Caenorhabditis elegans: one gene and its partners. The protein of the gene in region 3 interacts with the protein of the main gene of each other region in a pairwise test. Each region holds a gene or a part of one and is shown on either strand. Other genes may lie near its edges.

What was found. Proteins that work in one complex are often made in the same cells at the same time.
Region 1: the proteins of T19B4.5 (region 3) and cla-1 interact in a two-hybrid assay, tested with the Caenorhabditis elegans proteins (one large-scale study listed by BioGRID).
Region 2: the proteins of T19B4.5 (region 3) and Y41E3.7 interact in a two-hybrid assay, tested with the Caenorhabditis elegans proteins (one large-scale study listed by BioGRID).

What each region holds. Positions count from the first base shown.
Region 1 is NC_003282.8:7,609,155-7,613,727, reverse strand, and holds the start of cla-1 (Protein clarinet), read right to left. Parts: upstream 3,049-4,573; coding exon 2,966-3,048; intron 2,893-2,965; coding exon 2,831-2,892; intron 2,453-2,830; coding exon 2,384-2,452; intron 2,290-2,383; coding exon 1,976-2,289; intron 1,086-1,975; coding exon 1,041-1,085; intron 769-1,040; coding exon 719-768; intron 674-718; coding exon 626-673; intron 506-625; coding exon 89-505; intron 1-88. UniProt on the Caenorhabditis elegans protein: Required for synapse development in the active zone of presynaptic terminals of specific neurons including serotonergic NSM neurons.
Region 2 is NC_003282.8:15,012,352-15,017,082, reverse strand, and holds the start of Y41E3.7 (Golgi resident protein GCP60), read right to left. Parts: upstream 3,049-4,731; 5' UTR 3,040-3,048; coding exon 2,931-3,039; intron 2,883-2,930; coding exon 2,815-2,882; intron 2,765-2,814; coding exon 2,694-2,764; intron 1,829-2,693; coding exon of another isoform or gene 1,747-1,828; exon of another isoform or gene 1,587-1,746; intron 1-1,586. Other genes in the region: qars-1 (putative glutamine--tRNA ligase), read left to right, coding at 3,907-4,155, 4,227-4,562.
Region 3 is NC_003279.8:5,672,730-5,677,118, reverse strand, and holds T19B4.5 (uncharacterized protein), read right to left. Parts: upstream 2,816-4,389; 5' UTR 2,711-2,815; coding exon 2,647-2,710; intron 2,561-2,646; coding exon 2,184-2,560; intron 2,137-2,183; coding exon 1,621-2,136; intron 1,499-1,620; coding exon 1,427-1,498; intron 1,055-1,426; coding exon 881-1,054; 3' UTR 510-880; downstream 1-509. Other genes in the region: dnj-21 (Mitochondrial import inner membrane translocase subunit TIM14), read right to left, coding at 1-108, 158-283; zipt-2.4 (Zinc transporter ZIP3), read left to right, coding at 3,775-3,855, 3,906-4,005, 4,052-4,384.

The DNA of each region.
Region 1 (4,573 bases), on a different chromosome or scaffold from region 3:
ATTCCCAGAAATAATTTCAGTGAAATTTGAAGCATTCATTGTGTTTCATAATCTTAAAATTTTGGTGTCTCATTGTCGGCTAACTAACCTTGGTGGCATTGGTGGTGGGCCTCTTGCAATGGGTTTTCGCACATTCTGCATATCAGCTTCTGCCATAACTGCCATAATTTTCATTCTTTCATCATCTGACAAATCATCGAGTCCAGGTGGTAATTCGGACATTATACTTGAACTCATAACACTGGGAGATCTTGTTGGAATTTGACTTGAAGGAGGAGGGAAACGTGCGCCCATCTCCATTTCTGCATTTGCCATAACTGACATGATCTTTTCTCTTTCTGCTTCCGAAAGATCCTCCATTCCTGCTGGAATATTTGATGAACCACTTGTGCTTGGTTTTACATTATTAACAGAATCGTCAAAGTCGGCTGCAGCCATAACTGACATGATTTGTCGACGTTCTTCTTCGGAAAGACCATCCATCGGAATACCGATTTGTGGAGAGCTGTAATTTCAAAATTAACCATTTAGGAAATGAAAATCAAAAGAAAAAAGAAGAGGGGAGGTAGAAAAGTGTACGTGCGGGGAGTAATCTGATATACTGGGAATGTTTTATGTTACTTACGGAATAGATTTGGTTGGAGCACTGGTGCCTAGGGAGGTTGAGGATTTGCTGAAATTGTTTTTTTTATAGTTGACTTGACAAAATATCAATTACCTGCTAGAGAAGACATTGTTGTTGACAATATTTGATGATGAAGAGGATGGCTGAAAAGTTTTTATTATTTTGAGGTTATTTAATTTATTTCAAAAAAATTAATTTACAGAAGTAATGTTTAAAAACATTAGCCGTTTTGTGAATTAGTTAATTGTTTGTTTATAATATTAATACCAAAAGCAGTTTCTCAAAAAAAAGTAATCAATCAAGTGAAAAACTCGTGAGCGTTTAGTCATGAGATCTAGATCAAAATCGTGTTACCATAATTGAATTGGGTCGGAAGCCCTACGGAAAGAGAATAAAAAGAAAAAAGTTCACTCACCTTGATGGGTACGGCGGCTTGGATTTGCGAACCCGCTTCCTTTGCCTGCAAAAAGAGCAATTATCGAAAGTGACAAGGAGAGAAGAGCACACGCATGTCTTCTCGCAAAAAATTAATGAGGCATGGGGGTCCCCCGAGCCGAATCCTAAAGTGTTTCTTTTTGTTGCACACCCTACATTTATGCATAAGCGACACATACAACAAAACATAAAAAAGTGGAAAATAGACCAAAACGATGGGTACATCTTTTGGAATGGTGTATGTGTGACCGCTAAAAAAAAAAAAGAAAAAAGGAAGAACAAATGATTGTATAGTGTTTGTTGGATGAGGGAACAACACATTTGCGTTATTTTGGAAAGACCGGAAAGTCGAATTCCGTGAGTAACGAGCCCATCGTAGCTGCTCTTGGAGAGTCAAAGACACTGCGAAATTGGTTTTGTATACTGACATTGAAATGGTTTTTTTTTTTTGAAAATGAATTCATGTAATATATAAATTTGTGTGTATAAAAAACTACTCATATTCTCAAAATGTTGCATGTAAAAGTTAGTTATTTTTAAGAAAAAATGCTGATTGAAGAGTTTCTTAGATGTTAACATAATTTCTATGTTTTTTTTCTAGAAAACAGTAAATTTGAATATAACAGAAAAAAACAAATTGTTGCAACATAATATGTTCTACATTATTGGAAAATCATTTCAAATATCCATACCAAATATCATAATAAAACCTGTCAAACAATTTTGGACAATTATTTATTTTCAGTCAAACAGCTCTAAAAAAAATAACAATTTCTATAGTGACTGAAAATATTTTGAATAGCTTCGCGCATTTACAGTTTCAAAAACGTAGTCTTTTGAGTTTTAGTTTTTTGTTCATGGTCTTTTTTCAAACGGTGAAGTCTGATAGGTCATAGTGAATATTCAATTACTTACCTTATTAATAGCATCATTTGCAATATTAGAAAGGAAGCCGAAATTGGGTCGCTTCAACATACGACTACCCGGCAGTGAATCGATGGGTGTCTGCTGCGCCCTCAACGACTCTTCTCTCTGCGTCTCAAATCCATCATCAAAAGCCTCACGACTACTACTCTTCGTCTTCTCCTCCTCTTCGTAGTTCTCCAGTTTTTGCTGCTCCACGGCGTCGTCACCATATTTTCTCTTTTCCCCTTCACCAATCGATCTTCCGGTGCCAAAGAAGGCAGAAGAAGTGGTGGGCTCATGGTGTTGGCTCTCTACGTCAATACCTGCAAATATATGTTTTTTTGCTTTGAGATTTGGTCTCTTCGTCTCGCTTTTTGATTTGTGCTATGAATTTTTCATTTTTGACAGAAAACTCACCTTCAAGGAAGTGAAGTTGATCCTCAACATACTCCAATGGGAACTCTTCAACGTCAGTTCGAATTTCATCTGAAATTTCAAAAATAAAAAAGTAAATAGAGAAGAAAAATGTAATATTTGTATTACATAGGTCTAATGAAATTATATTCAGTCATTTCTTTTATTTGGACGTTTTTCTGAGTCAAAAACAGAGTGGATAGTGGAAAATTTTGAAAGTTCAGATAAAAGTCTGCTGATTGCAATTAGAATTGTTTTTTGTAGAATTAAGAATTAATTAAACACTCTTGTAAAATATTTTTGATAACATTTTATCTAGCTTTTGCTTTCTTTGCTGTAGAAATTCTCTTGTCGAGTAGAATTTGTTTTAGCAAATTATACTAGGTAGGTGAGTAGGCCTCTGTGTACCTACACTGAAGCGCATAAAAGTTTTTTTTTTAAACCACTTACGCCCCACATCTTCTTCCTCATCGTGGATCGATTGTCGCATGAAACTGAGTTGCTCCTCATACCTGAACAAAATAGTAAAATTGAAACACTAATTTTCAAAAAGAAAAAAAAAGGTTTATTAAAAATTCAGCATACCACTTTCCGATATCCGACTCGGACTCTTGCCTAATCTCTGATATACTTCTAATGTCGTATTCACTACTCTTCCGTGACGCCATCGAATCTGCTGATGGCGTCGGAGACACAGTCTGAAAATCATAAAATCCTGTTGGATAGTAGTGTTTAGTAGTCAAAAAAGGGGAAAAGTTGAAAATCTGGGAGTTGTCACGCTATCTGCATAATATTTAATGACACCGTTGCATTGCCACGGCATGCATAGCAACATGGTGAATGTGAAAAAAAAGTATTTATGGCTGGGAAAATAGAAACAGCTCGCACACAAAAAACAACGTCTATTTCTCACCTTCTGAGCCATAATAGGACCCTGGGGCTCTTCAGTTGTGTCAAGTGCAGCAGGAGATGTAACTCGATCTGGAGAGAAGCCGCTCGTTAGCACTTGAGCATTGTTGTTATCGAAGGAGCCGCTGGCGCCTGAACTTGCATCTTCTTGTTCATCGAATATATCAGCACCTGATGTTGCATCTGATCCACTTTCTGTTATTGGTTCTTCTTCTTCATCTTGAACTGGTTCAGCAGTGAATGGAGTGTTATAATCCATATCAGCCATCTCAGCAATTCTTGCAATATGGTCAAGCTCTTCTTGAGTGAGATCTTGCTCAAAGTGTTTAGAAGGAGGAGGAGGAGGTGGAGTCAACGAAACCTTATGAGTAATCGATCTTTGGGTGGCAGGAAGTTGGACATCTTGTGCAGCCATTGCAGTAATCTTTGCTATATGATCAAGTTCCTCTTGAGTTAGTTCTGGTGGTTCGAATATTTTTACAGGAACATCATATTCTGCTGATGCCATTTCAGCTATGCGAGCAATATGATCAAGTTCTTCCTGAGTAAGTGATGTCTCGGATGGTTTTCCTGTTGGAGGTGGTAGAGTACTGATGTCCATAGATGCCATTCCTGTGATCTTAGCGATATGATCAAGTTCTTCTTGAGTAAGTTCAGATTCAACTGGAGCAGGATGTTCAGAAACAATTGAAGGATACATTCCAAAGTCTTCATTTGCCATTGCAGCTATTCGAGTAATGTGATCTATTTCTTCTTGGGAGAGCTCCGGTTCATTTTGTTTAACTTGAGGAGTTGGTAGAGTTTGTAGATCAGTGTTATCTTCAGTAGCCATAGCTGTTATTCTTGCAATGTGATCAATTTCTTCTTGCGATAGAGTTGGTTCTTCAACATGATAATTAATTGGCACTGGCATTGTCGCAACTCGTTGCTCTTGTTGGATAAAGGGAGATGGCGCATTTAAATCTTCGGAAGCCATCGCCTCGATCCTTGCAATATGTTCTTTTTCTTCTTCCGTTAGTTCTATTTCAATTTGCTGTGTTGGATGTGTTGAAACGTATGGTGTATTAAAATCTTCTTCAGCCATTGCAGCGATTCTGGAAATATGTTCACGCTCTTCTTCAGAAAGTTCAATTTCAGACGGCTGCGCAAACACTGGAGTAGCTGTCGAAGCTGGGAATCTATCAATTGCACCATCGTCCCTACTATAATTTTCATCATAAATTGGCGCGACAGCTCCTTTAACAGGATGTGTAAAGTCCTCGTCAGCCATTGCAGCTATTCGAG
Region 2 (4,731 bases), on a different chromosome or scaffold from region 3:
GTCTGTGTGTTTACTCTTACTACTTTTGTACGTCTCTTGGATGGAAAGAAACGGAAAACGTGAGTCAGAAGAACAGACCAGAGTAGCGAGAGAATCCCCACACAAATTTCGGTAGAAAATTTGATTTTCCACAAAGGAAAGCAATCCAACGAAAACAAAACCAGAAAAAAAGTGAACTACTACTAAAGAAACACGAGGAAACGCTGGATATCCTCGTGGGAAAACCTTAAATTTTGCTGGAGGGCGAAGGTGACTTCTCTTCAAAAAAAAGCAAGTGTCATGAGAAAAACACGGAATGGATATCAGCACTTCCTGATTATCAGACACAAGTACTGGAATGTAGATAGACAGAGAAATATGACGTATTTCTTCTTGCAATGAGGACTACATTTTGGTTGTAGAATGTTGATGAGAGGTTCTTCCTTCAAGTAAGTACGGTAGGACATTTTCCCGAAAATTTGACATGATAAGTGGGTCTTGCCACGATCTCAGTCACGTTACGGGTGCACCGCATGGAGTCCGAAAAGTCTTATTCCGATTTGATCTTCAAAAAATGCGGGAGTTGAGACGCAGACATCTCTTCTGATTTCACATGGTTGAGATCGTTCTGACGTCACAATTTTTAGAGGAAAAAATTTTCCGCATTTTTTGTAGATCAAATCGTGATGGGACAGTCTGGCGTCGCGTGGTTTCTGGCTTCCTCTCATAAATTTAAATGAAAGAGTTTGCCGAGCTAGGCCATTTTGGCTCTGCCATATCTGGGCCAGAACCCCGTGAAAAACTCAGAATCCGCACGCAGAAAAAAGTTCCGTAATCAGGAAATACCGTAGACAATTGTGAAACCGCCTCGAAAACAACAAAGTAACAAAACAGAAGGATGTGCCGTCAACTTTTTAACAGACGGAAAAACGAGAGAAATAGGGCAAAAAGGAATGAAAGGAGAGGAAGAAGCCACCCAATTCTCCAGAGATTTCAGTGTTGCTCCTCTTGAGCAGGAGGAGGAGGAGAGCCAAATTGGTGGGTGTAGCTGAAATTTTCGTCGACAAAAGAGGCTGAAAATCAATTTGTGACGAATTCTCGACAAAAACTTCTTTTCTTTTTTGAAAACATGTATGTCTATCTCTTTAGGAAAGAATACAAAATGACTGATGAGTATTAGGAGAGCCGGCTCTTATGAGGTGAGCTCATGATGGATTTGTATCCATATTTGGGGCTTTTTGGCTCAGAGCTCCGAGAGCATCAAAAGTAGAAGACCTTTCGGGCTGCCACGGTTTTCTGGCTTCCCTCATAACTTGAAATGGAAGAGTTTGCCGAACTAGGTCATTTTGGCTCGGGGGTAGATTTACGGCGCGTTGCGTGTCGCGTCGCGGCTCGATTTTAGTTGAAAAACTATGTAAATGTATTTGTCCGTGTGGAGTCCGGCGAGCGATTGTCAATGGAGCGCGAAAAATTCAATGAGGAAGGCCAGAACCCCGTGGGGCTGTTATTCGTCAAAGAACTGAACGAATCCTTGGAAAAAGCCAAAATAACTGGTAGACATTGAACATTCCTTCTCTCTCGAAAATCAAATTTGCACACCGCCTGCTTTTACGATAATTGGCCACACTTGAAAAGGTTCTAAAGAAGGCGTCCAGCAAAAAAAAATATATTTCGGACAGAGGTTTCAAAGAGAAATAATTTCTAGTAGCAAAAGTGAAGGAAGAAGCCGCCGGGACACACAAAACACGTATAAACGTCCCAAATGGATTAGACGAAACAAGACGGCGAGTGGTGGAGCAGGAGGAGGAACACGAATTTGTACTGACGAGCAACAAAGTTCGAAAAATCGCTGAAAACGGCTCTATTTGAGGTGCAAAATTGCCATAAAATAGGTTATTTTGACAGCTTTTTCAGATTTGCTGCTTAATTTCAGAGGAGAAGGCACTAAAATTGGAGGATTTTAGCCTAAAATTTTGGAAAATTCATTTAAAGTTTGAGAATGGCTTGAGGGCGCCAGAAGAGAAGCCTAGAAAACTGAATTTGTAAAAAAAAACTGTAAAAAAATTATAAAATTGGATTTTTTTTCCAACTTTCTGAAATTTTCAGCTACATAGTTTTGCGTGGAAGAATTGTGAATTTCGCCAGAAAACCAGCGTTTTCTCTCTTTTTTGGAGCTCGTTTTCCACTTTTTGTTGATTTTTTTCAATAAAATGCCGATTTTACTTGTCATATTATCTTTTTTTCGAATTAAAATGTTATAAAATTTAATTCTCATAAGATTATAAGGATATTCAGATTAAATTAATTACTAGAATTTAATTGGATAACCTTTTAATTCGATAAAAAAAGAATAAAACTAGTAAAATCGACATTAAAAAACGGTGCCACAGGGTTGCAAAATTACGCCCCGCCTCTTTTTCTGTGCAAAATTCACGGATCGATTCAATTTTTGATCAAATTTCTGAAGAAAAACCGCTAAAAATTAATTAAATCAGAAGAAAAGTTGCCAATTCTCCGAGATTTCTATCCTGGAATAGAATAGGAAATGAAAAACAAAATGAAATTTTTTGGAGATTGCGTCTTCGTGTGTCCTTCTTCTTTTTTTTCTCCAATTTTGTTCATCATTTTCGAGAAATGAGGGTGTGGGGGGAAATTGGAAAAGGAATAGAGTGTTTTCTTTTTTTTTGTTAGAATTTTGATTGAAAATCACCCACTTCACATCGTTTCCAGTGATATCTAGCCATCCAGCGTTGTCAAATTCATCGGAAATCTCTCCATGTTGGACCTGGAATTTAATTTTTATTTAATTTTTGATTTTAAAACTGGAATTTTCACTTGTTTGCTCAACGAGAGCAATTTAATGCGATCTTCATATCCAACAGGCTCCTGTTTCCCGACGTGTTCTGGAAAAAAACTCATTTTTTAAAAAGAATTTTTAAATCAAAAAATACCTTTTTTATAATATTGAACGGCAAGCTTGTAGCATTCCTCGAGAGAATGTCCGAATTCCGACTGAATCAGTTGAACCTCGCTTAGACGGACGTGGTTCTCGTCGGCCATCTCTGAAAATGTGCGAAAATTGATTTTTAAAATGCCAGAGCGCAATAAAAATCAAGGGGAAACTGGAAAGAAAATCAGATAAAAATCAGAAAATGAGAATTGCAGCCGGTTTCTAGCAATTTTCATATGTAATTTCGACATTTTCGGTATAAAATCCATAGAAATTAGATTAAAGATCACAATTCGAAGTAAAAATCAATAAAAAATCCAGATTTTCAGAACTTTTTAATGCAAAAACACGAAGAACAACGCTGAAAAAAATGAACGTGGATCCGATGTGGCACACCATTTTGTGATGTTTTGTGTGTAAACACCGGCACGCGAAAATGCACACTTTTGCAGTTTTCAGCTGCAATTAGCAAGGAAAAGCCTATTTTAAAAGTTTTCCAGTGGTTTTTTGGCTTTTTTAAAATTATTTTTTCCAGATTTGAGGCTAAAAATTTGATTAAAAATATAGAAATATTGTATTTAAACTCAAATCCCGCGAAAAACTCGGAAAAAACTGAAAAATTTAGGGTTATTCGGCTAAAATCAAGAAATTTGGAATTTCTCCAGATGTTTGCAACTTTATCATAATTCCTTATTGTAAAAACTGTTTTCTCACTCAATTATTCAAGATTTTCCCGAGATTCGACGAAAAATCTTCTAAATTCTCCCTAAATTTTGTATTTTCAAGGTTTTTTAGGCTGTTTCAGGAAGCGATTTGCTTTTTTTTCAGTTTTTCTATAGATTGCAACTTTCCGCGAAACTCAGAAAACGGAAAACTGGACTTTCTTTAAAAACATTTATTTTCTAGAATTTTCTTCCGCTTCTCCACTTTCTAACTTCAAATTATTCAAAAAAATTCACAAATTTTCCAGGGTAAAAATGGCAACAAAGGAGGAGCTTCTCTCTTTGGGCCTCTCTGATTCAAAAGTAGCTGAAACGCTGAAAAATGTGAAGCTCACCGAAACGATCGGTTCAATTGTGAAGCTTGCGAGCGAGTCTGGCGAGATTTCCAAGCAAAAAGGAACACTTTTGTACCAGTTGGCGACAAAGTTGAAGCCACAAGTCGCTGCTCACACTCCACTAGTTGTCAAGTATATTATGAATGACGGGATTAAGACAGAGCCACAGGTTTGTAATTAAAATTAAATTTCAAATTAAAAAAAAAACAGCTAAATTTCCAAATTTCAAAAAAATTTCAGCTCTCCGCAGCGATCGAGTATCTTCTCTCGCACACCGTTAAAGGTATCCAAGTGCCTGATTTCGAGAAATCATGCGGAGTCGGCGTTGTTGTCACAATCGACGACATCGAAGCGGCCGTTACCAAGGTGATTGGCCAACACCGCGAGAAAATCGTCGCCGAGCGGTACTCGTTCCCGGCCGGAAAGTTGCTCGGCGAGCTACGAGCTCTGCTTCCATGGGCTGATGGTGCGATTACGAAGAAGGAGGTGGATTTGAGATTCTTGGAGCTGCTCGGACCGAAGACTGCGGAGGATTTGGCTCCGAAGAAGAAGGAGAAGAAGCCGGAAGGCCCGAAAGTAAGGCCTGAAATTCCGTACTGTTCTGAAAAAAATTATTGAATTTAATCTACATTTTTCAGGACTTTTGCCGGAAATTTGGAGGAATTCGCAACCGCCGCACGCTTACTTCGCAAGCCTCGCGCGTTTTCTTTTCAAGAGAAAAAGCGTGCGAGGCTTGCGAAATAAG
Region 3 (4,389 bases):
AGCTTCCTTAATTTTCGCCGGTTTTGCTGACGGCGCAACGCCCAAAATTTTCGCTGCTTCGGCTCGTGACATCTTTTGATCGAAACCTCCACGATAATAGTTGCTAAACTGAAATTTGGCATTTTTAAATTAAAACTTTCAAAAAATAAACACTAACAGCTCCACCAGCAACTGGAATCGCCTCCATTCCTTTTTTAATAAGCGCCTGATTTCGAAGGACATATCGAGCTCCAAATCCGACTGCAGCGAGACCCAAACCGGCAACAATTAAACCTCCCGTCATTTTATTTTTCTACAAAACAATATTTTGAATTTACTATCTTCGGTAATCCTTTTTAGGTACAGAACCTGTATTAAACAGGAAATATCAACAGATTCATCAGAATAAAAAATTTCAAACTATAACTTTATTTTGTATTGGATATTTCAAAGTGTAGCTTAAAATGCTCTTAAACTAGTTCTGGGAATAATGAGAGAGGTGGGGGGGGGGGGGGGGGGGGTGGGAAGAAAGAAGGGCCTGCCTTCTAGAGATGTTAATTTGATAATCAAGAATGAAAATGGGATCCTGTGGAGCTTAAGGTGAGATTAAAAAGAATTGTAAATTTTAAAAATTGGAAAGTTAAACAGAAAAGTGATGAAATCGATAAGACCCGAGAATTTTGTAAATTAATTTTCAAAATTTGGGATTGGAAACATAAATAATATTTGGAACGCAATGTGACAGTTTTTGACCGTAGTTTCGTAAAGTTTAGTCTGTTTTGATTAGTTTGCGATTCCGGTAGGCATAAAGGAATAATTTAACAACAGAAGAATATAGATGAATGAAAGAGAGGATGAAACGAATAAATTAATCAGGTTTCCAGATAAAAAGTTAAAAATTTCATCCAGATCTTCCACTTCCACCAGCGAGCAAGTTTTTATCTTTAACATCTTCATGTTCTTCATCCTGTTGTTGTTGATCCTCAACCATATGATCATCTGCTTCCATTCCTTCCAAATGCATTCGATGTTCATCAACAGTCTCCTCGACAATCCACTCTTGTGGAACTTCTTCCTAAAATAAATTATTATTATTATTACGAACTTTTTTATTATTGTTTAGAAACAAAATCGAACATTTTGATAAGTTTAAAAAAACCAAGATGTTTACTAAATTCGTAATTTCACTATAAATTAATAATTCAAACTTTCTTCCAAATTTGCTCGATGACAAAGCAGTTAAGTTTTTTGGAGAGTTTCGACTGCATTTCCCCAGAAGGTGTACTTTTAAGATAAATTAGTAATAAAAATGGAATTTCAGTTCTCAGTCATTGGTTTTCCGTTTACATAGCTTTGAGAAAATAATTTACAGGTTCAAGATTTTATTCTGCATTTCAAAACATTGAAGCTCTTTTTTTTGTATAATAGACTTTTTTTTAAAACGTACTCCTTCTTGATTATTGCCCACGTGTCCTTCAATAACAACATGCTCTTCGGGCTCTTCAACCATCATTTGACCCTGAAATCCAATAAATGTTTGCAAAAGGGATATCTTATTTTTATTGTTTTATCAATTTTGAAAGTTGTAAAAAAACATATTGTAATTCATATTTAATAAAATGTAATTTAACTGAAAATTACCATATGATCATTTCGATAAATATTGTTATGACCTCCAGCCTCATTGAACTTTCCATAATACATCACATGAATCGAATCCCTCAATTTTCGATTTTCAGTCTCCAACTGACGAATTCTAGCTGAAAATGCATTTTCTCTGGCTTCCGAAATAGTCTTTTCATGTCGTTGTCGTTCGCGATAATATGTTGTCAGAGTCGAGTTCGCCTCATTTGATCTTTCCAGATCCATAATCAACATTCCAAGATATTGATGATATTCATCCTGTGAGAAGTCAGCTTCTTGTAATTCTCTTAATCTCTCAGTATCGACTTTTGCATCTTCTATTGTTTGTTTGATATTATTCTCGATTTCGATAAGAGCATGTTCGGATGCTGTCGGATTTGCACGAGCCACACTTGAAGCCAGACGAACTACTTTGACAGGTTGCAGATTTTTCTGTGATTGTTGACCTTGCTGCAGATGAGATTGTTGTTGAGTTTGCTGCTGATGTGGGCGAGCTGCGGGCATGTTCATTTTCTGAAAAGGAATATTAATAAATTTAATATCTCGACCAAAAAAATTACCTTTACACCTGGAGGAAGCCCATCAGAATTATCTCGTTTTCTTCCAGCAAAGCTGACAATTCTCGCGCCGGCTGGAGAAATTCTTGTCTGAGGTCTCTGCTGAGCTGGCATATAGACATTTTTATTTTGCAATTTCTGAACCATATCCATATTATGTGGGTAACTTTGTGGACGAGGAGCCATCGGACGGCCAACTCCTCTACGAATTGATTGAGATTGTTGTTGTGGAACTTGATAAGCAGGAGCTGATTGACGGTTATCATAGTGATGATGATGCATTGGATTACCACGAAGTTGTGGATGATGATGGTGATCAACAACCATTTCAGTCGAACCGTCGTCTACAATTTCTTCATGGGCAACTTGTTGTTCATCCCCTGGAAAATTTGAATTTAATATACCTCATGCAAAAAGTCGAAAAGCTGTGTTTGCAAAGGTGGTAAATAAAACTCGTAAATATTACCTGGATCACCTCCATCGATAACTAATTCGGCCTGCTCTAAAACATTCATATTCGATGGATTCATAGTCTGGTGACTGCTTCCTGCTCCGGAAGAAGATGATGTCACTGGCGGTGAGTTCGGGCGAAAGTATCGCTGTCGCCGAGACGGAATCATACAGAGAGAAAACCTATAAAAATTCGAGACATGACTTAACACGCCAAGTCGGATAAATGAGGGCTGAGAGGAGAAAAATGAGTGTAAATAAAAATGAAAAACTCCTAATCGTTTTTAAAACTTTAAAACTAAAACATTAAAACAATTGTAAACAAACGCGTTAATCGTCAGTTTTTACCGATCGTAGAAGACAACTTTAAAATGAACATTTCTGTAGTAATACCATCGAACACTATCGAAAGAACAAAATAATGCATTTCCTAATACTTATGAAAGCTATTTCAATGAAACTAGTGGGACTATTCAATAACCTTCTACCGTTATTCGTTTCATAGCATATTCTGAGTGTTATGATTTTTCTTTGAGTTTAAATTACGTTAGGATGATTCGAAATGAAGTGCATCATGAACAACATCCAAAATTAGCATTTTAACGAAAGAAACTTCGAAGGAAAACGGGTAATTATTTAAGTTAAGGTTAAAATTCAAAAATCGTCATTGAAACTGTTTTTTGCTAAACAGCACGCGTCTGCGTTATTTCGGAGTGTCGTTGCGAGATTCAGGCCTCACCCCGCAGGCCTAAAGGCACATCTTTGCACAGCCTTATGCCGAATTTGGCGTTAAATTTAAAGAATTTTCTTCTTTCTTTAGATTATAAATGATTTTTTAAAATACAAATACAAATATTTACATTCGATAGCCGTTGGTTTTATTGTTATTTTTATTATTGAAACCGCTATTCACACTATTTCTGATTCTACATTATCTTCTAATCGATATCAACAATAATTCTTCTGGTTTAACTGAATTCTCGCGCGTTCTCTCATTTCCCTTCCGCTTTTATATACTTTTCTTTGAAAACTAGAACAAAGCACACTGTTATCAATTATTCTTATCAGCTGCACCCTCCGGACCGCCCCGTTGCCAACTTTTTCGTGCATAACTTTTATTTTAGTTTTTTTTCCAGAAAACAAAATGAACGAAGCAATACTGAAATTGGTGTTAATGTTTGTAATGTTTTCGCTCACAGTTATCGTTGGATTATCGCCATTAAAAGTGAGAAATTATTGAGATTTGTGTATTAATATTTCACTAATGTTTTTCAGGTACTTCACAAATTACGGCATGAAGCAGCGACAGCTCAGAGCTCATCAAAACACAAACACGTTTCCCTTGTTCTCTGCCTTTTGACATGCTTTTCTGGAGGTTCGGAAATGTTTTAAAATATTTTATTAGTTTTATAATTTTTCAGGAGTCTTTCTTGCCACGTGTTTCCTTCATCTTTTCCCAGAACTTCGTGAAAATCTTGAAACCCTCGATACAGTTCATAATTTTCGTATCGATTATCCAGTCGGAGAACTTTTATCTTGTCTCGGATTCTTTCTTATCTTCTTTCTCGAAGAAGTCGTTATTATGATAATTCCATCATTTGCTCATGGACATGGACATGGTCACGGACATGATCATCATCATCATGAAACTACACCTCCATTGGCTTCAAAAAGTGTCGAAGCTTCTGGCGCTGGAGGATGTTGTATGGCTGATACTGTTGATGAAATTAAGAAAAAAGAAGACGACCTTGTTGGTGAG